Arabidopsis thaliana: one gene and its partners. The protein of the gene in region 3 interacts with the protein of the main gene of each other region in a pairwise test. Each region holds a gene or a part of one and is shown on either strand. Other genes may lie near its edges.

Region 1 (5,867 bases), on a different chromosome or scaffold from region 3:
TATATTTAAGGAAAAATTTTTTTGACTAATTGAAAAGAAAAACTCGGCTTGGATATAACTATTGATCATGGTAAATTCTAAGCGATCCTCGTTGTTAATCAAGCAATTCTCTTACTGTTATAACATTAAGAATAAGCTATAAGCATCGGGATCCAAAATTTCAGACACAGCTAACAAATTGCTTAGTTCACGCCTAAATATTCGATTAGCCACGAGATATAACAACATTTTTCTTTTTAAAACACGAGATTTAACAATATATGTTAATTTTAATTTATAACCTTTATTACATTAGAATCTCGAGTTAAGATTGTTGAATCAGATCGGAGGAATCTAAGATGTCATAAAGCGCACCACATGCATCAGCTCATTTGTCTTATTCCAAAACAAGTAAGTATACACAGGCATATTCATATGTTGTATATTAATGTATATATGTAGGATGTAACAAATAAACAAGTATCGTTATAGTGAAATTCATCTTCCAAAAGTTACTAGATTCTTGTTTAGCAAAAACAAAAAAGTTACTAGATTCTTGGGTTGGTTACGAAAAAAATAAAATTGGGTCACTTTTGTTGCATCATTTCATAAAGCAGGCTACTTTACATATGTTTTCAGATCTCTATTCCATTTAATATATTTGAAATTTTCAGAAATTAATCAATATCCGATATACAGTATAACCTCTATTTGGGACTGCAAAATTTTATTAATTTAGAGAGGTATTAATTTATTGATAAATTAATATTTATTAATTTATAGAGAGATTTTCTTAATTTGGTAACTTTTTAAAAAAATTTATAAGATTTTTTTCATTATAAAAAATATATTTCTAGAACCAGTTACAAATAAAACATAATAATAATGTCTAGAAAACATTATTAAACAAATAACAAAAGTTTTGGTATAGTAAAATATGAAAACTATAATCAAACAAATAACAAATATGAATTTAAACAAAAAATTATTATAAATATATTTTAAAGAAATTTTTTACATATAATATATATATATAGTTGATATATTTATACAATTATTAATTTATGATATCGATGAGACCATATATTTACATAGAACTTTCCAAAAAATTATTATCTTATTAATTTATCGATTTGTGTCATTTTTTACACTAGTCCCAACTCGGGACCGGAAGAATTTATTAATTTATAAAGGTTATTAATTTATAGAGGTTATACTGTAGTAAGAAGTCCGTTCTATAAGAAAAGTAACAACCCAAACTTCCAAAAATCTGTACAAAATGAAGTTGAATTACAATTATCACCTGGTGTATAGTTAGAGCTTTTATTGTTTTAATATCAAACTGAAAGAAAAAAAAAATTGTTTCAGACAACTAAATTATTGGCTAGGGCCAATTAGGCTGTAAATTTACATATCAACTTTGATTAACTTTTCTTTTTGTAAACTTGTTTAAAACCGTTTTTTTCCATTGATTGATTAATCGAGTAATTAATTTATTTTATTTCATCTAAAACATAAATAATGAACCGTTGTGCAACCTAATTTTTTTTGTGATCGAGCGGGTTGACTAGATGAGTTAGGTTGAATTTAGAAATATTTACTTTTACATGTAAGCTAACGGTATATAAATTCTGAATTGAAACGTAGGATCAGTTTTAAATATGCGACTAAACTCCGTTGAATATCAAATATAGGATTAACTGAGGGTCATACTATAATTTCACGTGAAATACAATTCTAACAATCGTTACAATGTTTTTTAAAAGAGCTTTTATTTCACAAGATGCAAATTGCAATACTATATAAATATAATAAACTGAAGATAAGCGCACTATCCTTCTTATCATTATGATGGTGTGATTTCTACTCTTTACGTTCCATTTTTTTGGTTCACCCAACTACCAAATTTGGGATCCTCCAAATTCTATGCCAAAGACATAATGTTTTTTTTTTCTTTGTGTTTAATAGACATATTGTTAAGATTAAAAACCTATTATAGTGGGCAATTCAATTTTTCCCACCTTTGCCTTTGTCTGAAGAAAGTGTCTTCTTTTAGGCCACTTTTTCATTTTTTTTTTTTTTTGGACTGACATAGTTGGCAATGTGTTGGAAAGAGACAATCTAAGATGTCATATTTTTTTCTTCTTGGGTCCAAAATGTTTTATGAAACCCATGTTGCCTCACAAAGAATGTTTTTGGCAAACACTATCTATTTTTACAATAGACTTCCATAAGATAAACCTATTGCCAAACCTACTCCCATTACAAAACTAACGAGTATAAATTTAAATAACTTATTGAATTATTTTTGGAATTAATCATATTGTCACTTTTATTGTAGAAACCCTATGTCTCACCATAAAACAAAGGCAGGCAAAGTAAAGTATTATCTCTAAATTATAAATTAATAATTATTCGTCGCCTACTTGGTCCCATTTCTCAATTCTTCATCTCTATATCTATCCCCACATTTCATTGCATTGATTCTCTTACAAGCACTTTCTCCCTCAGTCTTTATCTCCCTCTTTCTCTCTTCTCCATGTCTAACATGTTTAGCAGAATTGCCATGACCAACTCTATCGTTCTTCTTCTATTTTCCTTGACTTTCTTAGGTATCGTTTTTGAATAATTGCTTATTTCTGTCTACCAACAAACAAAATTCATTATCTCAATTTCAGTTTGTCATTACACTTTAATTATTTAAATTTCTCTTACATTTTTTTCACAGAACATGGATTGTTGTTTCAAAGGGTCTCCTCTCTTGGCATCAACTATGGTCAAGTCGGCGACAATCTTCCTCCACCGGACAAAGTTCTACAACTCTTGAGTTCACTCCATATCAATAAGACAAGAATCTATGACACAAACCCTCGAGTGTTAACCTCATTTGCCAATTCCAATATCGAGCTCTTTGTCACCGTCGAAAATGAAATGCTTCCCAGCTTAGTAGACCCTCAACAAGCTCTCCAATGGGTCACTACCCGTATCAAACCCTACTTTCCGGCCACCAAGATCGGTGGTATCGCCGTCGGCAACGAACTATACACTGACGATGACTCAAGCCTTATAGGGTTTGTTACATACATCCCCTCATTCCTATAAATTGTTATCCTTTTCAAATCTTGGTCCATTACAAATATGCCCTACTAACCAAATCATGGTAGTCATGTGGGTATCATCCTGAGATCCTCTAGTTCAAAAAAAGAAGAAAGTATTCAACCTCGTTATTGCTATGATTCGCAGGTATCTTATGCCTGCAATGATGAGCATTCATGGGGCTTTGGTCCAAACCGGACTAGACAAGTACATTCAAGTATCGACTCCGAACTCACTATCCGTCCTTCAAGAATCTTACCCTCCATCCGCCGGATGTTTTAGGCCGGAAGTAGCTGGCGTAATGACACAGCTACTAGGTTTCTTGCGTAACACGAATTCCCCCTTCTGGATCAACGCTTACCCTTACTTCGCTTACAAGGATTCCCCAACAAAGATCCCATTAGACTACGTCCTCTTCAACCCTAACCCTGGAATGGTTGACCCCTATACCAAGTACCGCTATGACAACATGCTCTACGCTCAAGTAGACGCTGTGATCTTTGCCATGGCGAGGCTTGGCTTCAAAGACATCGAAGTTGGGGTCTCGGAGACTGGATGGCCGTCTAAAGGCGATGGAGATGAGGTTGGAGCCACTGTGGCCAACGCAGCCGTTTATAACAAAAATATTCTAAGGAGACAACTTCAAAATGAAGGAACGCCATTGAGACCAAACTTGAGTTTTGATGTTTATCTATTTGCTCTTTTCAATGAAGACCTTAAACCAGGACCAACCTCTGAGAGGAATTATGGATTGTATCAGCCTGATGAGACCATGACTTACAATGTAGGTTTATTATCGTCGTCATCATTAACATCAACATCAACTACTTCTTCAACTTCTATTATTTCCCTCACTTCCTCTGCCTCCACGGTATGTATCAACATTTAACTTTACTTGCTCTGTTTCTACTAGATCTCTTACTTCCATATTTCTTTCTTTTTAATCTTTATATAGCACATTAAATCCCTTGAAAAAAGCTTTGATTGAGAAACATTTTTAAAACAAATTCTGACCTGTTGTCTAAAAAAGAAGAGAATTGTGACGTTTCTTTCTTCTAATTGTGACGTTTTATACTTGAAAAGTTCGGCTTTTCTAGAACATATTCTTACCAAACATATTTATTTTAACATATTTCTTGATTAATAGCGATAAAGTATACATTTTTTTTGGAGCGATATGATTAGTACATGATATTTATGATTATCCTCACCATCTGATTTTTAGATACATATTAGTTAATTAAAAATTTGCGGTCTTAATTATTGCTTATTATGATATTTTAATTTAAACAGGCTTTAAAGAAGGGAAAGCAACGGTTGATGTATTGGACATGCGTTTATTTGTTGGCCATTCACATGCTAATTAGAAGATCGTACTAGAAGCAAAAACAAATTGAGAGAGCTTCTAAGTGTAAATAGAGAGTCCACTAATGCGGTCCAATTTTTCAACGAGAAGAATTAAATTATTCTCGAAAGTGTCTCAGATGATTCTTTAAAAGGGGAAAAAAACACTCAGAAAAATTGAGAAGGGAATGCAGTACTGCAAAGCGAATCCTATGTATAAAAAACTGACGATTCATATTATAGAACTTTATTTGTATTTGTCTTACTAACGTGTTAATTACTTTCGTTGTCTAAATAAAAAGTGACTAAAATTAATCATCAACTGATAAGGTATACAATAATGATTCGTATACAATAATGATTCATGAATCATATAAGAACGATCGTGTTTATTGTTTAAATCCAAAGGATACAATTTCATTTGAGGCATTTTAGTAACCACATTCATTGCATAATTTCATTTAAAATGTTTGATTTCACATTATGTACTACATATGAATCATATTTCAGAAAGCTAAAGAAATTACTCTAGATATAAAGAAGACCCCATATAGTACTACTTTTACGAGAAGCATAGAATATAATAATAATTATTACTAAGCAGAAAATATTGTCATTTTCAACGCTCCAAATATTACTTTAAAGTACATGATATATAATGTTATCATCAGATATCGTTTAACAGAAACAGAAAAAAAGAAAGATGATATCATATATTTTATATAGAAATTTATTGATTGGTCACACCGAAGGTGAAGGCTCTTTTATCTTTTACCTTTTATCTTTTGGACGTGGAATCCATAAACCTTAGACATACGATACCTTCCTTTTCCATCTCACCGTCAACATTCGATATTTTAATATATTGTCTGCTCTTACACATGCATGCATTATATCTGCATGTATATGTGGTATGGCTTCGTACGTGCACACACATGACACTACTCATACATGCATACATGACACATCTTACATGTATGAATATGTGTATATGTCATATGTGTGGTGGATACTCATTAATTCACCAATTGATGTAAAAGAGGAATGCTCCATTTTTCTAACGGGAGAGAAAGAAGAAGTTAAAAATTATCAAAACAAAACTAAAGTTTATTTATTAGGAGGAAGCATATAAATTGATATGGACGGTTCCAACTTTATTCCACGACCATGTTTTAAGTCGTCAGCATTTTGACAATAGTCATTGGCCGTCCCTTTTCAAAGGAGCTTTCTCTCTTTTTATAAATTTTCTATTTTTCTACTTTTTTCTCTGGATTCAATTGTTACTTATTTGTTTAATACAACATGTTTACACTATAATAAATATCTTCATCGCTTTTCTTACACCTTTCTGGTTTTGTATAATCCATCACGGTTTAACTTAAAAATGCCACAAGCTATATTGAGCTTCAATCTGGAAATCTCCAATAACAATCTTTGTATATAGCTCC
Region 2 (8,890 bases), on a different chromosome or scaffold from region 3:
GAGGGTGATCAAAGATTTAAGTACAAATTATATACAACCTGTAGCATTCTCTTCATCATCTTCATCCTTCTGGTCAATTTCACAGTTGCATTTACATATTTTCCAACTATCATCTGAAGACCATATGGTGGTGGAGATTGCTCGTCTGTGGTGGATCAACTGGATTGCTAATGTGCGCTTTTTGCTTGTACTACGGGTATGCGTGGAACGACTAATCGGGGTAAATGCAAATCTTGTTCTTCTTTGGATACATGGTTTGCATTTCCTATGGTTTCTTACTCATGCTTGGAACCATTTGATTTGGTTCTTCTCTTCTCCATAAAATGTGAATAAGCAGTGATTATTATTTTTTAATTACCCTCCCACTACTCAATTTCTCAACAGATTTGATATGACTGATTTTTTTTTTTTCATTTATGTATGATTATTTTAAAATGTGTTTGTAAAGAAATGTTATGCTTATATATTATTATTACTATAGAAAGTTAGATGTTGCTTAATTTTGTGGTTTTTTGTCATGGTACCAAAACATTCTTGGTCCTCTAGCCTTGTTGTCTACTTTTTTGAACAAAGCATCAGAGAGTTTTCACGAAGAGAATTATCTTGAAAAAAAGAAAAAAGAGAGAATTATCTTTGATTATTGTTTGGGACTATATGTTGTAGTCAAAGTCTCATTTTGGTTAAGGCGACAGTTAGAGAAACCGATGGTGAAGCTACGGTTCAAAGAAACCGTAGTATACTATTTTTCCTTATTCTTGAGTTCACTAAACCTGAGGTATCAATTCCCAAAATTGACCATTAATAGCAGACTCCAATGTTAACAAACTTCAAGCATTTGAAAAGGACCATTAATCTACTAAAAAATGGCACCACAGTGACTGTTTTTGGTCATATTGGTCTTAATAAAATCCGAACAACAAAGATGAGTACTCCGTATGTTTTTCATATTGGTTCTAGTTCCAACCACATAAAACTTAGACTTCTTTAAGGAACTACACAAAAAAAACATACTTTTCCAATCCAGAACTACAATATTTTAAAATCGATCGGCAACCGCTTGGTGTTTAGATTTTGAGGTTTTTGTTAAATCTAGTCTAAAACGCGTTTTAAATTTAAAATTAAATTAAGCCAACTTCGTAACTAATGCCCAACCCGAAAGATAAACCCGAAGTGAATCTCAACACGATATCTAAACAATGACACGAAATCGAAATCCTTTGTTTGAAACAAAAGCTTTTCAGCTCGAAATTTAAACCCTGGCCTGAAAGCTTGGGTATTGAGAAACATGAAAGTATAATTTTGGTTGGTTATCTATTATAGTATTATTATTAGTTAAGTAAATAGTCTTATTTATCGATTACTAATGTTTTAGCAATAGTAGTATGACCTGGCCACACACAAAAAAACGCACGATGGGTGTTTTTCTTCTTCTAACTAGTCAACGGTATTAAGTATTAACTTGATGCTGTGAGCCTGCGAGCACGAATCCATATATAAATATATATATATATATATATATATATAATTAAAAGTCCAGAAGAGTTAATGTAAGGAAGCTACGTTCCAACTACTTCATTTACTTTTTTTTTTTTCTTAAAACTACTTCATTATCTAATTAGCTCATGAAGAAAATTATTGAAAATGGTCATCATTAATTGTCATTAAAGTCGTGTTCACATTCTCATTTCCTTTCGCAACACAAAGGGTATGATTACCTTGTTGGATAACCTCTTTAGCACAACTTTATATTTTTTTATTCAATATTTACCTCTGTTCAGTTGATGTATTACCGAGTAAAAAACTAAAAATAATATTTCTGCAGTTTATTCTTTCTTTTTTTTGCCAAAACTGTATTTATCATAAAATTAAGTCGAGGTTTACCAAGCTAATCTAGGCTTGTATTATCATGGCGAAATATGGCAACAATGACTTATTCTATTTTCATAAAGTAACAATTAGGATGAGTTGTACTATTTTCATGTTTTAATAAAAAAAACCAGAAAAACTTTTATAAATTAATAAAATCTGGATTTATATATTTTATTAATTTGTAGAAAAATTTGTCTAATTTCTTAGTTTAAAATAAAATTTCTAATTAAAATAAGTTTTTTTTTGTTGTAAATATTAATTTTCTACAATTAAGTACAAGTGAGAAAGCAAGTATCGTGTGTAGAAGACAACACCAACAAATTTTAATGAAGTAAAAATATTATAGACGAATTCTAACAAAAATTATTGCGAGTTCTAGATGTTTTACTGTATTAATACTTGGAGATCATTGTTATTAACAGAGTGGGACCATTAAAAATTTGAGGCCCATACGAATTATTAAGTATTCCGTATTATATATTTTTATAACTACAAGTTGTACTATTTTTATATTTTTATTCATTGACTTATAGGTTCGCTCTCTGTCAAAAATTTTTATCAATACTAAAAGACACATCTTCCTGCTTTTAAAGAAATCTCTCTTTTTATAACTACAAGTTGTACCATGTTATTCATTGACTTATATATGATCATCTACTTCGAACAAATTTTCATAATACTGAAATACCCCCTCTCTGTCAAATTTTCTAAACAAGAAAAATCGTTAAAGGGTTTAAAAGAGACGGATCTTCTTCCCATAGCTCATCCATATTACCAGTAAGCTTTCTTCCTTATAGTTATGTCTTTAATTGATATATATATATATATATATATATATATATATATATATATATTTATATATATATATATATATATATATATTTATATATATATATATATTTATCTATAAGCATGCATGATGTGAACAAAGATAATAATTGAAACCAATTTTCAAATAGAACCCATCTCGGTTTAGAAATAGATCTAAGAATATATTATACTCGAGTCTTCAACTTTTTATTTGTTTGTGCAAAACAGAAAAAAGTCCTTGGACTAATCCAAGATGGAAGTTCATATAGATTTGGATGAAAAAGTTCAGGAACCCTGCATTTATAGAGTACCAAATCGGATGCGAGTAGTGAAACCTGAAGCCTATACACCCAAGGTGGTCGTCATTGGCCCACTTCATCGTTCTCTCAAATCAACTGCTAAGGACGGCGCTGAAACAAGTAGCAATCCATGGTACGTCAAACACATTACACACACAGACGAATATATATGACGATAAATATATGTACAATATCGTCAATATTTTCTTGATTTCCTTTTTTTTTTGGGCAAATGCTTATATTTTCTTGATAATATATTAAAATAATATTAAAATGTAAAAGAACTCAAAAATTTATCAACAAATACAGCTATCATCTCAATTACGATTTGACCTAATATTTGAATTTGATCCGATCCAATTCAAAAACAGGTTAGTAAAAAAAAAAAAAACAGGTTAGGACTCAGATTTTCGGGAATCTAGATCCGGATAAGTTGGATCCATTTTGATATATATATTTTTTTTAATATATGTATTAGATATATCTAAATATTATATGTCGAAAAAAAAAATCTGTATATTATATAATAAACTGATGAGTACCTGAAAATATCACAAAAAATAAACTTCATTTTAAAAACTTGGAGTATCTTTAATAATGTTCATGAAAAATATGTTAGAAAATGTTCTCAAATGTTTATGAAATCAATCAGATTATATTCTATTTAATACTTTGTTTCGCTATTTTCTTCGGATTCAGATCAAATTCGGGGAATTAGCATATTCAGATCTGAGAAGCTGTTTCTGAGATCTGGAAAATCCAGATCTATTAAATTATAAAGCATACATACTTCCTAGAATTTTGCTCAAAAAAAAAAAAAAGGACTTCCTCGAATTATATATTTTGGTTATTTCTGTTTCTGTTTTTGTTTTCCTAAGGAATATTCCAAAGGATATCACATATTTTTCTTTACAACAAATACCATAAAATTCGTAACAAAGTAAATACCATAATATTTTATAAACTGTTAGAAAATATTTTTGTGTCATTTATATATAGGAAATCTTCTAAATTTCTTAGAAAAAACTTTGTCACTAAATATTATGGTATTCATAATACTTCTTTTCGCATTTTTTGGATATTCTTTTTTAAAAATGTTAATTATTGAAGTCTTTCTTTTTTAAAACAAAGTTTAGAAGAAGTTTAGCTTCAGAATCCGCCAATATTTTTTTCAGAAGTTTTCAAACGGAAGTTAATGGAGACAAGTGTTGAATATTTGAAACTACAATATGCATGTCTTTCGTTTTATCCTTAATTACTACAATCATGTTGAGATGGCCTAATAACCTGAACGCGAATCACACCTACTCTTAGAAACCTCATTTCAATTTAAATGGATGGAATATACATATAACAAATCGTTACCGGTGTCTGTTGATTCCATTCATTCTAAATTACGTTAGTAATAAAATGATTCTCATGCATACTTCAAATCTCCTTCACAATTCGTTTCAAATTAAATGTTTTTTCTTTCTTTTGCTTGACAAAAAAAACTATTTGATTTGAAACCGGTTAAGCAGAATTCGGAATAAAGGAGATTTGAAGTATGCACGAAGCTTTCAAGTTTGGTTTGAATTAAGGCAACAAGGATAAACTCTTAACTCAGTTTTCTCAATTATGCTTTAAAACATTATGCACTAAGTTTCCTTTTAACCGGGAAATAACCTTTTATCAGTTGAAATTGTGTCATAATTTAAACCACCAGAAAAATTAGTGAGTAGCCGACTCAACGGATATACTCAGTTACTCACTCGGAGGGTAGAAACCCAGATCACCCTTTGGTTATAAAACTAAAATAAATAAATATGAACATAAAACCCTATCGACAACCCATTGATAAAAATAATTTGATCAAAAAATAAATAAAGCAAATTCAAATATTGAAAACTATATCAAATTATCGGTCATATTATTCATTGTTAATTATTTTTTAGATAAAAACACCAAGTTTCACAACTTGTTCCTAATTTTGGTTTAGTGGCGTACTGGAATATGATCATTTATATAATTAAAGTTTAATATGTCGATTTATTTTTACCAGGCATCTTAAAAAAGATTATATCAAGATGGAAGTCACAAAGAAGACGTACTTCGAATCTTTCACCAAAAGAGTCGGGGAAGATACTATTGAGGAAATGAGGAAAACCATACAAACCGAAGAAAAAAATATTCGGAATTGCTATGAAGAATCAACTGAATGGATACCATCTGAATTATTCGTAGACCTTATCCTTCAGGATTCGATTTTCATTATGGAGTTAATTATCAGACTTTCTGGATTTGATCGAATACATTCAGATGACAGAAATTTAGACTTTGCAATCGTTATGAATGATTTACTCTTGCTCGAGAATCAGCTTCCCTATTTCATTTTGGATAGCTTGTTCAGTTTCAGTATGACGAAGTATTTGGATTCACACACCCTTGACAGTTTCATCTTGCGCTGTTTTGGCCTAAAGATCGAAGAGAAGAAAAACTTCATGCATTTGACAGACATGTACCGGTGTGTTTATAAAGAATCGCTTGACTACATTCCTCCACGAGAGTACTCACTGAATCGCGTTAAATGGTCTATCACAGAGTTGCGGAACGCTGAAAACCTATCAAATGCAGGAGTTAATTTCAAGGTAAATGATCTTCGATTACGGCTATATCTTCGTTTCTGATAAGCCTTTGGTTCGTTTTTGCTTGGAGTTAAAAATCCTTGCTATTTGAGCTTTTCACTGTCATACACATATTTATTTAGTTTAGAAATATCCTAGGTTTATTTAACAAAACAAAAAAAAGCCTAGGTCTAACAAAACGACTTTGCCCTGATTGTTTCCTCATTTGGCATTTTCATCCAATGATCCACCTAAATTATCCATTTGGATGATCTATTTGAATGATGTTTGTTTAATCTTTTGGTAGTTCATCTAAATAATGCATTTAAATAGATTTTTGTTTGCTTGATCATTTTATATTTCATCTATATACTTATCTAAATAAAAATGGCTAAAATATTCATGCTTTCATTTTAACAATTATCCAACATCATTACCAAATATCAATACCAAACATATCATATTTTGCTGTTTTGGCAAGAAAAAATAATTTTGGCGGGAAAAAAGGTTTTGCAGTTTTGGTGGGGAAAAAAATAATTTTTTGGTTTTGGCGGGAAATATAATTTTATGGATTTTGCCGGAAAATATGTTTTTGCGGTGTTGACGAAAAAACAATTTAGTGGCTTTGGCGAAAAATATGATTGTGCGATTTTGGCGTGAAACCATGATTTAGAGAAAAATTGATTTTACGGTTTGACGGAAAAAATAATTTTATGGTTTTGGCAGAAAAAATGATTTTACAGTTTTGGCGGGAAAAATGATTTTTCTTTTTTGGCGGGGAAAAATAATTTTATGATTTTGACAGAAATTAATAAACAGTGATTTCACGATTTTAGAGTCTTTTTGGATGCAAATATGTGATTTGAAAATATTAAATAAGAAATCTATAGAAAATTGATATTATTTAATATATGAGTGTAAAAAAGGGTATATTTATCATTTATTATTTTTGAATGAATTATCTCCATCCAAATGGTCCAAATAAGTTCATCCAAATGAGTTTGATATTCAGATAATTCATCCAACTAATTCATTCAAATGCTCTGTTAAATTATAAAAAAACAAACATCATTTTTCATCTCCATCTATATGAATTTTATGTGTCTAATTGTTTATTTTATCTTTGGATTATAGATTGTTATTAAACTAGCTTTGAAATATGTATATATATTTTTGGTATGAAGCTTTGAAATAGTTTTGACAAGAACGTTTCTTCTTTTCAGTCATACGATTATTTAGATCTCTCAAAACAAGACGAGAAACTTGACATAAAGATTACGCGAGACAAGTCTGACTCTGAACTTACGAAATTACCAACAAATAAAAGGTAAATAGCATCATTTAAAAAAGTGTGACAATAGAAATTAGATTTGGATAGATCATAGTTTTTTAGATTTTACACACGTATAAAGGTAGTTTGTATATAATTTTTACAAAATTACACACATTTGAATAAATTTCATATTTTAAGGGTATTTTTGATTAAAAAAAGTTATAGAGAAAATACATTTTTGAAATTTTATCGCAATCTTAGTATTAGAATTCCTAATGGTTGAAAAAAGTTGTGGGTTGTCATGTAAACACTAAAATTTTAAAATATAAGATCAGTATTCATGTGGAATTCTAAATTAATACTTCAATTAAAAATACTATATGGCTTCGAATGGTGACGAAACCACACAGTACGATGCAGTTTCAATAGAACAAAAAATATTTACATTATATAAATGTATATATTTTGTTACTATTTAACTCGCTCCATACCTTATCCGCACTTGAATCGTACATCTCCACTCGAAACATATATACATTGGGACTTAGGAAAAAGATTTTAAAAACCTTTAAAGTGAAAACAGATATCAACCGAAAAGTCATAATAAGTTGAGACAACTCTAAAAGAAATTTGTTTCCTAATAATATATGAAGATATATTTTACAAACAATATGATTAAACAACATAACCCTCATAAACATTTATTAAGATTCATATTATAAAATAATATATTATGGTGAACCATGCGATCATTAGTAAAAAAATTATTAAACGAAAGTTTATAATGAGTATACAAAAAATTTCAGTTTCTTAAAAAAATTATAAATATATTCAACAAAATATTATGAAAAAGATGCAACATTTTCTATTTTGTTATGTTAAAGAGAGATAATCCTCGGATGAAAAAGAATCATAATTAACCTAAACTAACTGTTATTTAGGAAATTCAAGATAATGATATAGATAGCAAAGTATATACATGAATACTACAGAGCTAAAGAATGCAGACAGATATTTTGAGTTTACAAAACTAATACTACAAATAATATATATTTGAATAAATGATCAATATAGTTATATATATACTATGTAATATGACCAAAAAAAGAATATACTAAATAAAAAAGATGCGATCAAATATTTTGGATGTATGAAACGTAGAGCTAATTTTGTTATTTGATTTATGTTATGTAACTAGGAACATATGTATTTATACTTATCCTCCATATGTTGGCAATGAAACAGATTTTTACACTTTTACATAAATAAGAGAAACTGGGCCAAAAGACAAAACATATATAAATGATTAAACTTTTTGCATCCCTATTTTCATAGTCACATGTATATATATAAGATGGAAACGTATTTGTTGTGCCTCCTCCTACAGAGAGAGGGTTGAAGGTGTTTCATTGCATGTGGAGTTAAAGAAAGGTTGCTTATCGATGCCGAGTTTCTGGGCTAATGATAGGACAGATATGATTCTAAGAAATGTAATTGCATTTGAGCAGTGCCAGCATGGCATAATACCCTTTACCTCGCACTACATACAATTCTTAAATGCCCTGATAGTTTCCGACAGAGACGTCGAGCTACTCAGCGAAAAAGGTACAAACATCACTAAATCAATACATTTAACTATTAATTAACATATATGAATGAAAAATATGCATGTGTTGCTGGAACATAGGGGTGGTAATGAACAATATGGGTCGGCCAAGCTTGGTGGTGGACATGGTGAACAAGTTAAAGGTTGGTGTGTACGAAGGATACACCTCCCAATACTATGACATAGCCATAGATCTCAAAGCTCACTATAAATCTCGAAGAAAGAGGTGTTGGGCCACCCTCAGAAAAGTTTACTTCAGCGACTTGTGGACCGGCACAGCTACTTTAGCCGCCGTGCTTCTCTTGCTTTTGACTCTGGTTGGGACGGTGGCTTCTGTCATCCAAGCTTACGAAAGCTTCAAGTAACTATATATGCTTTTATAATTCATACAAAAACAAAAAAAAAAAACTATATATGCTTTTATATCGTC
Region 3 (4,747 bases):
AGCTTGAAGAAACGGGGAAGAAGTGCTTATATAAAAATTACGATCTTTTTCCAGCGAAGGTAATGACTTGTGTGTGTGTGCCTACTATTGTCGTAAGTTGTAAAGTCTTATCACTGATACGGAAGCAACATATGTTAGATCGTGGTGTGTTCTATTCATCAGTCTTCTAGGATTACTCATTGATTAGCTATCTTACTTTCAGAATAATTTCAATTTTGAGAGAAAGGATTGGATGACTGTAAGTAAAGATGAGTTGGAACCAGGTTCAAAGCTGGTAAGACACAAATTTCCTTTAGTATGAACTTTGTGTAAGCTCCAGTGTCATTGAAATAGTTTGAGTAGTATCTGACTGTTTATATTTTTGGAATTATGAGTAGATTATGGGGCTAAATCCACCATTTGGAGTCAATGCTTCTCTTGCAAACAAGTTTATTACCAAGGCTCTTGAGTTCCGCCCAAAGATTCTCATTCTCATTGTTCCTCCCGAGACTGAAAGGTTTCAGTTTCCATCTATCTCATCTGCTCCTCTGTACCATTCCATAACACTAATATATCGACTCCTCTCTCTCTCTCTTGTTAAATCTATCACTTTTCTCAACAGGTTAGATAAAAAGAAGTCATCATATGTGCTTATATGGGAGGATAAGACGTTCCTATCTGGAAATGTAAATCTTTCGCTTTTCTTTTGATTTTGCTTTTTGAGAGATTGAGCCTTTATTGAGTTTCAGTTACATGTTATGCTTCTTGCCTATTCCTTTCAGTCATTTTACCTGCCTGGTTCTGTCAATGAAGAAGACAAGCAATTGGAAGACTGGAACCTTGTTCCTCCGCCACTTTCTCTCTGGAGTCGGTCCGACTTTGCAGCCAAGCACAAGAAAATAGCGGAGAAGCATTGCCATTTGTCTAGGGATGTGGGGAGCTCAAAGTTAAAGATAGTGGAAGAAGAAGCAAACGCATCTTTGCATCCACTTGGAGCTTCTGATGGCATGTGTGATGATATTCCTATGGAAAAGGATGAACTTGAGGTAGCTGAATGCGTTAATAAAATCTTAGTCTCTGAGAAAATCGACACAGTAGAAACTGTAGCACGTGTACATCAGTCAGATCACTTGTCACGGAGAAGTCAGCTGAAAAAGGAGGGAAAGACCAAAGACTACTCTGGTAGGAAGCTTGGGAAATCTATGGATTCTAATAATGTGGATTGGAAGAGCAATGACATGGAAGAGGATCAAGGAGAGTTGAGTAGAGCACCAGAGAGCATCAAAGTAAAAATTCCCGAAATGACATCTGATTGGCAGAGTCCTGTTAGGTCTTCCCCAGATGATATATATGCTGTCTGCACATCAATTTCCACTACAACACCTCAAAGATCTCACGAGGCTGTAGAAGCATCTCTGCCTGCAATAACAAGGACAAAAAGTAACTTGGGAAAGAATATTAGAGAACATGGTTGTAAAGTGCAGGGCACTGGAAAACCTGAAGTGAGTCGGGATAGGCCTAGCTCTGTGAGAACTTCTAGAGAGGACATCTACACTGTTCGTCCATCGCCAGAAAATACGGGTCAGAAACCGTTTGAAGCTTTTGAACCATCTTATGGTGCAAGTTTGTCCCATTTCGACGATGGTCTTGCTGCTAAGTATGGTGGTTTCGGTGGAGGCTATAGAATGCCGGATCCTCCTTTCCTACCGGATCAGTTTCCATTGAGAAATGGTCCTAACGAGATGTTTGATTTCCGAGGATATTCAGACCTTGATAGAGGGATTGGTCAAAGAGAATATCCACAGCAGTACGGTGGGCACTTGGACCCCATGTTAGCTCCTCCTCCTCCTCCAAATCTGATGGACAATGCATTCCCATTGCAACAACGTTATGCGCCTCATTTCGATCAAATGAATTACCAGAGGATGAGCTCTTTCCCACCTCAGCCTCCATTGCAACCTAGCGGACATAATCTCTTAAATCCTCATGACTTTCCACTGCCACCGCCACCACCTAGTGACTTCGAAATGAGTCCAAGGGGTTTTGCCCCTGGCCCGAACCCGAACTACCCTTATATGAGTCGATCTGGCGGTTGGATTAATGACTAGATCAGCACTCATTATCCTTGTAGTTGCAACATTAGTAGTTTGATTGATCTTTTGTGTCTCACTCTACGAAAGTGTAGGAAGAATAGAAGAAATCTATAACTTTTCTCTGCCACTCACATGTGTAGCTAGTGGGCCTTTTAGCTGTTTAATAATATAAAAGAAAAAGAAGCCAGCTTCTATTGTCTTAAACTTTTGAGTCATATTTTGTGGTAATTCTTTAATACAGGACCACGTCAAACTCTGCTGCTTCCACAGAATTAGCAAACGACAGATCTGAGAAATGGAAGAAAAGTTTAGAAACTTAATCGAGGTATGGATCTCTGCTTTAATCTCTCTATCTTACTGTTATTACATATCGTCTAAACTCTCCAAAGGTGTTCTTCGTCTCCTCTCTATTCTTCCAGTCTGCATTCTGTTTCTTGTTCTTCCTCTGTTCCTCTCTTGTGTGCACTTTTGCGCCATTTCAGTTCTTTTTCTTTCATGGCTTGCAAACTTTAAGCTTCTTCTATTTGCCTTTGATGAGGGACCTTTGTTCCCACTTCCTCCAAAACTCTCCCGTTTCATCTGCTTCGCTTGTTTACCCATCAAAATCAGACAAGACCCTTCTCCAAATGCGATACCAAATCTTCATCCTAAACCTATGCCTAAATGGGTTTTGGCTGTTAAAATTTTGGTCTTGGGCGTCTTGTTACATGTTTATGAATACAGGGATGGTTTGCCTCGGTTTGTTGTCTTGGCTCTCTATTGTCTCCATATTTACCTTGAGGTAGAACTTGTCTTGGTCTTTGTTGGAGCCGTGGTATCTACTCTTCTTGGGTGTAACATCGAGCCGGTGTTCAATGAGCCCTACCTAGCTACCTCCCTACAAGACTTCTGGAGCCGCAGATGGAACCTCATGGTTTCAGCCGTCCTACGCTCAACCGTTCACATTCCGGTTCAGCGTTTTTTCAAACGCATACTCAGTCCAGACGGGGCTATGTTTGCTGGGGTCATGGCATCGTTCTTTGTCTCAGGCTTGATGCATGAGCTGCTCTACTTTTACATGATCCGTAAGCCTCCAACTTGGGAAGTCACTTGTTTCTTTGTGTTGCATGGTGCTGCCACTGCCACTGAGATAGCGGTGAAGAGAACACAATGGTTGAGGCCACCGCACCGGGCTGTCTCTGGTCTTGTAGTTCTGACGTTTGTGAGTGTGACGGGCGTTTGGCTATTCCTCGCTCAAGTGCTGAGAAACAATGTCCATGAGAAAGCGATTGGAGAATGTTTATTGGTTCTTGACCTAGCCAAGTTATTCACTTCTTCATGATTCTTTATTAAAGGCAAAGAGCGGTAGCAGAGCAACCAAACTTTGTTTCTCTTCATTGTTTGAAAACGTATATAGAAGTGTGAGACACGTCGTCTAGTGTGAAACATTCTTGACATGCTATTAAATTGAATCAAGCTCAACAAATTCAATAAATATGGCGTAAATGTTTTCTAAGTTCTAACAAATGATGAAATATGAACATCTTACTTTGTATATTATTAATGCAATATTTGTTAGAAGAATTTTAAAATAAAACAAACTCTGCCAAATCTATAATCTTACTTTAATCATGCCGCGTCGTTTGTCTGGATTTGTCATACGAACATTCCGAATCTATTTGGATTTCTTGATTTTATAATGTAAAAGAAAATGTAATATGGAGTTTTTTCTAAGATTCATTTATCTTTTACTTGCGAATTGAAAATCTGGTAAATACATATATGTTATTTCCAAATCATTAAATAATTGAATAATACAAGTTTAAAAAATAAAAAAAATGAAAGTACATGAGACAATAAACCCTCTAACTTTGAAGTTCTATCCTTTTACCTCTTTGAAAAAAATAGTTTTTGAATGATCCAAAATAAAAATGACGCAAACTTGACAAATTAGAAACGTATTACCAGTTATGGTTTTTGGCATTATTCATGTTCTTCTGGTTGTAGATAACATTATTTAAGTCGCATCATTATGAAACAGTTAGCAACCAACAGAACCAAGAGAGAAAAGATGGAAGAAGAGTTGAGAAACCTAATCAAGGTTTGGATCTCTGCCTTAATCTCCATATCTTACTGTTACTACATCTCATCAAAAATCTCCAAAGGTGTTCTTCGTCTCCTCTCTCTTCTTCCCATCTTCATCATCTTTCTTCTTCTTCCTCTCTTCTTCTCTTCTGTCCACTTCTGCGTCATCTCAGGTTTCTTCTTCACATGGCTCGCAAATTTCAAGCTCTTTCTCTTTGCTTTCGATCAAGAACCTTTAAGCCCACTTCCCTCAAATCTCACCCGTTTCTTCTGCTTCGCTTGTTTCCCCATCAAAATCAATAAAAACCCTTCTTCAAATCGAATCCACAACAAACCTATGTCTAAATGGGTCCTTGCTTTCAAACTTTTGATCTTTTCCTTCTTATTACATGTGTATAGAAACAACTATGATTCCGGTTTATCACGGTTCGCTTTCTTGGCTCTCTTTACCATTCATGTTTACCTCGAGGCAGAACTTATCTTAGTCTTCGTCGGTGCCTTGATGTCTATGCTTCTTGGTTGTGAAATGGAACCGGTATTCAATGATCCTTACTTAGCCACTTCTTTACAAGAGTTTTGGAGCCGTAGATGGAACCTCATGGTCCCAGCCG
Region 4 (4,567 bases), on a different chromosome or scaffold from region 3:
ACAATAAAATTTCAAATTTTAGAAAATACCACTGTTACTAGCCTACTTTCACCTTGTGGATCATTTTGTTAGCTATACATGATACTATTGTTTGTTTATTTTTTACACTCTAGAATTTGTATCATAGCTAGCAAAATGATCACATATATGTTGTTGTAAAGTTCTCGGAAGCAGCCGTGATGGAAAACGCATATTCTCGTATCACTAGTGAACCCAAATGATCACATATTTGTTGTTGTTTTTAACTCAGCCATCATTACCATGCATGAGTCTCGTCTAACATGACGGTTCTGTAACCCAAATGGAATGGAATGCATTTTTCCTACACTACGTCATGACATTCCCAGGGTTGATGCCACTTGTTTGCACAATTATTGTCTCTTCACCCTACAGCTTTCAACAATGTGCAACTACACGTAAATTTGACCAATCAATTTATTTATCAATATTTATATAGTGCAACAAGTAATTTTCTTTTATTTGAACCAAACAAAAAAGTAATATTCTTTCAGTTTAGAATTCGCAAGGTTGACTTCAACTTAGTTTCATATCAACTATAATTATATTCTGTGTATATAGTTAATGTTTGAATACTCTAATGGCTTTGTATGAATGGCCTGATATAACTGTCCCTCGAAAATCTATTACTTAAGTAGAAAATACATAATATATAAAATCTTCAATTTAATTACATAGGTTAAATCCTTTTCACTCACATAGTCTCATGGATCATTTTTTTTTTTTTGCATCCATGGATCTACAGTTTTGTAAGAAGTAAAAGATAAACCATGAAAAAATCCTATATCTGAGTTACATGAGATTAATTTTCTAACAAAAGCTTTAAGCAAATAATGTTTGTCACTTTCATTTGATAAATAAATAAAAAAATACAAAAAGAGATATTTCGTCTAAGAGAAAACATACGAAACCAATTTCAATAGCTCAACTGGTAAAGACTATTAGACAAAGCATGTAGGTCGCCGTTCGATAAAAAAAATTATTTCCCACGTATGTAATTGTTTCTCCAGTTTACCTCTTGATTTAATGTCTACGCGGTTGAATATATTATCTGTAAGAGTTGGTACCATGTCTATTGCATACTATAAACATCGAGTAAATGAAATTCACATCTTTGTTCACTTAGGTTTTTAATAGCAATCTACACGATCCTGCTTTTATGGCTGCGTCATTTTCATTCTTGTAGATAAAGTCACTCCGGTAGTTATAAAAAAAAACAAATTAGGTTTAACTTGTAGTGCTATATATATATATATATATAAGCTTCATATTGTTTTCATTACGATCTTTTTTTTTATATATACAATGAAATTGTTGCAAGCGTTAAGCAATGTAAACGTGGAGGTTTCAAGGATGTCTTGTGAACGATTACCAGAAAATAATGTATATTATTGACAAGGTATGCAATAAACTTATGAGCAAAAACGAAAGAATGATAAATCATATAGGTATAAGGTATATTAATAAGTAAAAGCAATAAACTTAAACATGCGACCAAGAGATAAAAAAAAGTATATAGCGAAACTACAAGTAAAACATTTAAACCACCATCAATATTATATCCACTTATAACAAAGAAATATGATTTTGGGAAAACGAACTTAAAAAAATATATATTGCATGGACATATAGCGAAATAGTTCATTCAAAGACAAAGATTGGTTAGTCTACTCCTATCAATCTTTTTAAAAAAGTAAATTAATATTGATGTAAGGAAATTTGTAATTTTAGTTTAAAGAATTAATGCTAGTGAAAGAGTAGTAATAAGATGCTACGTATATAACCCAATTGACTTTGCTTGGATCATCAAAAAACTGCCTCAAAATGTTATATTCCATTGCGTGTGTATTTTTGTTTTTACGAGTTAATCACTCACGCCACAAGATCTCCACTTTTACTTGCTCTTCTCCACTTTTTAACCTCATTCCAACTAGGAAGTAAGATCCATGTATCTCTTTTTAACCCTTAAAACATTGGAAACAAGAATTCTCTTACACATGTATCGGTAGTTGGAAATGCCGACCCAAAAGGACCAAAACTCACCATTATCTCAAGTGATAGAGCTTCTCAAGAAACTACTCCACCATTTCCACAATCTCCTTTTGTATTTCTTCATCCTCTGGATCGGCGTGATAGTTGGAATCATTGTTTATCCCTCTCTACAAGGATTATCTTCGCCTTCTTCGTTAACCATCCAAAGTGTCTCCCAACTCTTCTTTGTAACCCCTCCTCCTCCTATTCTTTCTCCTTCATTTCAGGACAATGGGCTTGACATGTTTCTGATACCACTGAAGAACATCATGCACGATATGGAAGATAATGAACTTCTGTGGAGAGCTTCAATGGATCCTAAGATCAGGGATTACCCTTATCCTAGAATCCCGAAGGTTGCTTTCATGTTCTTGACTTGGGGACCTTTACCTTTGGCTCCTCTATGGGAAAGGTTCTTTCGAGGTCATGAAGGTCTTTTCACTATCTACGTTCACACCAATTCGTCTTACGACGAGTTCATGCCGCAAGACTCTGTGTTTTATGGCCGCCGTATTCCAAGCAAGGTCAGCTTCCCAAATTATTAAGAAATTTATTTCGATACATTAATAGGTTTGGAATTAACGTGATAAATAAAATTTATAAATATATTATAAATAATATATATATATATATATATATATATATAACGGATCGAAGTACATGAATACGATATTTTTCCTATCTTTTTTAGTAAATTACATAAAAATATAAGAATATTTGGTATCTTAAAAGAAAACATATTAATTATTACACTATAATACATAAAATAAAATCAATCCAATGTCATTAACTATAAACGTATGCAGAGAGTGGATTGGGGAAACGCAAACATGGTAGAAGCAGAACGAAGGTTATTAGCAAACGCTTTATTAGACATCAACAACGAACGTTTCATTCTTCTCTCCGAATCATGCATCCCTCTCTTCAACTTCTCCACAGTTTACTCTTTCCTCATCGACTCCACTCTAACCCACGTCGACTCCTACGACCTCACAATCGGTCGCGTCCGCTATGACCGCCGCATGTATCCTCACATCCGCATGCACCAATGGCGAAAAGGCTCTCAGTGGTTCGAGCTAGACCGAGCCATGGCCCTCGAGGTAGTCTCTGATACGTTCTACTGGCCAATCTTTAAAGCTTACTCTCGCTGCCCCGACGAGCACTATATCCCGACGCTACTCAACATGAGGCCGAGCCTTGGGTTGCGTAACGCGAATAGGACGCTTACTTGGACTGACTGGAGCAAGCGTAGGGCTCACCCGAGATTGTTTGGTGAGTGGGAGGTTAATGTGGAGTTCTTGGAGTGGCTAAGGATGAAGAGTGTTGGTGATTGTAAGAAAAATGGAGAAAATAAGATGAGACTTTGCTTTCTCTTTGCTCGCAAGTTTTCGTCGACTGCTTTGGATGAGTTACTCCGGTTAGCATCTATCGTCATGTATTTCTGATCACTCTCTTCCCCCTTCGTCCAAAAACAAAGATGCAATCGGTTTAACTACCAAATCTTCTTTAAGTAAGTGAAATATACAGTGTGTGCTTAACAAGTTACTTTCAGTACTAGGGATGTGAGATTAATCAAAGTCCTTGATAAAGTTAGGAACTAGCCTGTCATCAAGTTATAAACAGAAGATAACTTGAGAAACATTGAGAAAACACAAAAGCCTGACCCCCCAATCTCATTTGGTTTAGTCCTCCATTAGCATTTATGAGAAGGTATCCATTCATATTAGCACCTAACTCTGCAGACAATGTATACTCATATGGTAAGAACTTATAGAAGAGAAAAATAGGAAAAGAAAAAAAAGAACAAATTGCTACTAATAGGACTAAAAGTTTTGCCTAGACACCTGAATACTCAAAGAAGAATAAAGTCATGTCAGATATTTAATCTCCTTCTCCCATCTTCTTAAGCGAGATAGAAACTAAGCCACAAATGTTTAACCAAAGAAACACTTGAAAACACTACTACCACCAAGAAATGTGAAGAAGATCTTAATTAAGCAGCTCAATACACATCCATTTTTGGGCAACACTCAAAACGCAATTTATCAAGTTGTAGAAACAGAAACAAAGGCTAAACCACATATAAACAAGACCTTCTCAAGCCAAAAGTCGTAAATGTTCGACAAGAGAAACACTATTAGTAACAGAAATGTGAAGATTTTATCTTAATCAAGCATGTTCTAGTATGAGAAACACCTAAAAAGATAGCACAAAAAGCAAGAACCTAATGAGAAGCACCACCACCAATGGCAAAATTTTCTATACAATTGTTGATTTTTTCCCCATTTACATATTGATTATTCCATTTTGCTATATTTAGTTTTTTTTTTTTTTTTTTTTTATTCATTCAAATTCAATTTTACATATATTTATGTGACCCAAAACATAATTCCAATTCATTTTCTACAAAAATTCAATTTTTGACTTACCATATCACAAATGATATTATTAAAATAATATCAATAATAATATAATCACTCTTATAATAAAACTTCGTAATGGCCACAAAAAAATCAGT

Evidence for each region.
Region 1: the proteins of AT5G55380 (region 3) and AT1G30080 interact in a protein complementation assay, tested with the Arabidopsis thaliana proteins (one large-scale study listed by BioGRID).
Region 2: the proteins of AT5G55380 (region 3) and AT1G65985 interact in a protein complementation assay, tested with the Arabidopsis thaliana proteins (one large-scale study listed by BioGRID).
Region 4: the proteins of AT5G55380 (region 3) and AT1G68380 interact in a protein complementation assay, tested with the Arabidopsis thaliana proteins (one large-scale study listed by BioGRID).

The regions. Positions count from the first base shown.
Region 1 is NC_003070.9:10,549,819-10,555,685, reverse strand, and holds AT1G30080 (Glycosyl hydrolase superfamily protein), read left to right. Parts: upstream 1-2,390; 5' UTR 2,391-2,518; coding exon 2,519-2,591; intron 2,592-2,707; coding exon 2,708-3,050; intron 3,051-3,222; coding exon 3,223-3,946; coding exon of another isoform or gene 3,947-3,964; exon of another isoform or gene 3,965-4,368; coding exon 4,369-4,455; 3' UTR 4,456-4,831; downstream 4,832-5,867.
Region 2 is NC_003070.9:24,562,513-24,571,402, reverse strand, and holds the start of AT1G65985 (transmembrane protein, putative (DUF247)), read left to right. Parts: upstream 1-2,436; 5' UTR 2,437-2,646; intron 2,647-2,783; exon of another isoform or gene 2,784-2,907; 5' UTR 2,908-2,932; coding exon 2,933-3,111; intron 3,112-5,019; coding exon 5,020-5,605; intron 5,606-6,804; coding exon 6,805-6,908; intron 6,909-8,241; coding exon 8,242-8,459; intron 8,460-8,541; coding exon 8,542-8,825; 3' UTR 8,826-8,890.
Region 3 is NC_003076.8:22,445,492-22,450,238, reverse strand, and holds AT5G55380 (MBOAT (membrane bound O-acyl transferase) family protein), read left to right. Parts: upstream 1-2,285; 5' UTR 2,286-2,367; coding exon 2,368-3,393; 3' UTR 3,394-3,615; downstream 3,616-4,747. Other genes in the region: EDM2 (ENHANCED DOWNY MILDEW 2), read left to right, coding at 1-59, 203-274, 378-496, 602-665, 762-2,087; AT5G55370 (MBOAT (membrane bound O-acyl transferase) family protein), read left to right, coding at 4,123-4,747. UniProt on the Arabidopsis thaliana protein: Catalyzes the final step in the synthesis of long-chain linear esters (waxes).
Region 4 is NC_003070.9:25,634,860-25,639,426, reverse strand, and holds AT1G68380 (Core-2/I-branching beta-1,6-N-acetylglucosaminyltransferase family protein), read left to right. Parts: upstream 1-1,964; 5' UTR 1,965-2,033; coding exon 2,034-2,573; intron 2,574-2,855; coding exon 2,856-3,494; 3' UTR 3,495-3,589; downstream 3,590-4,567.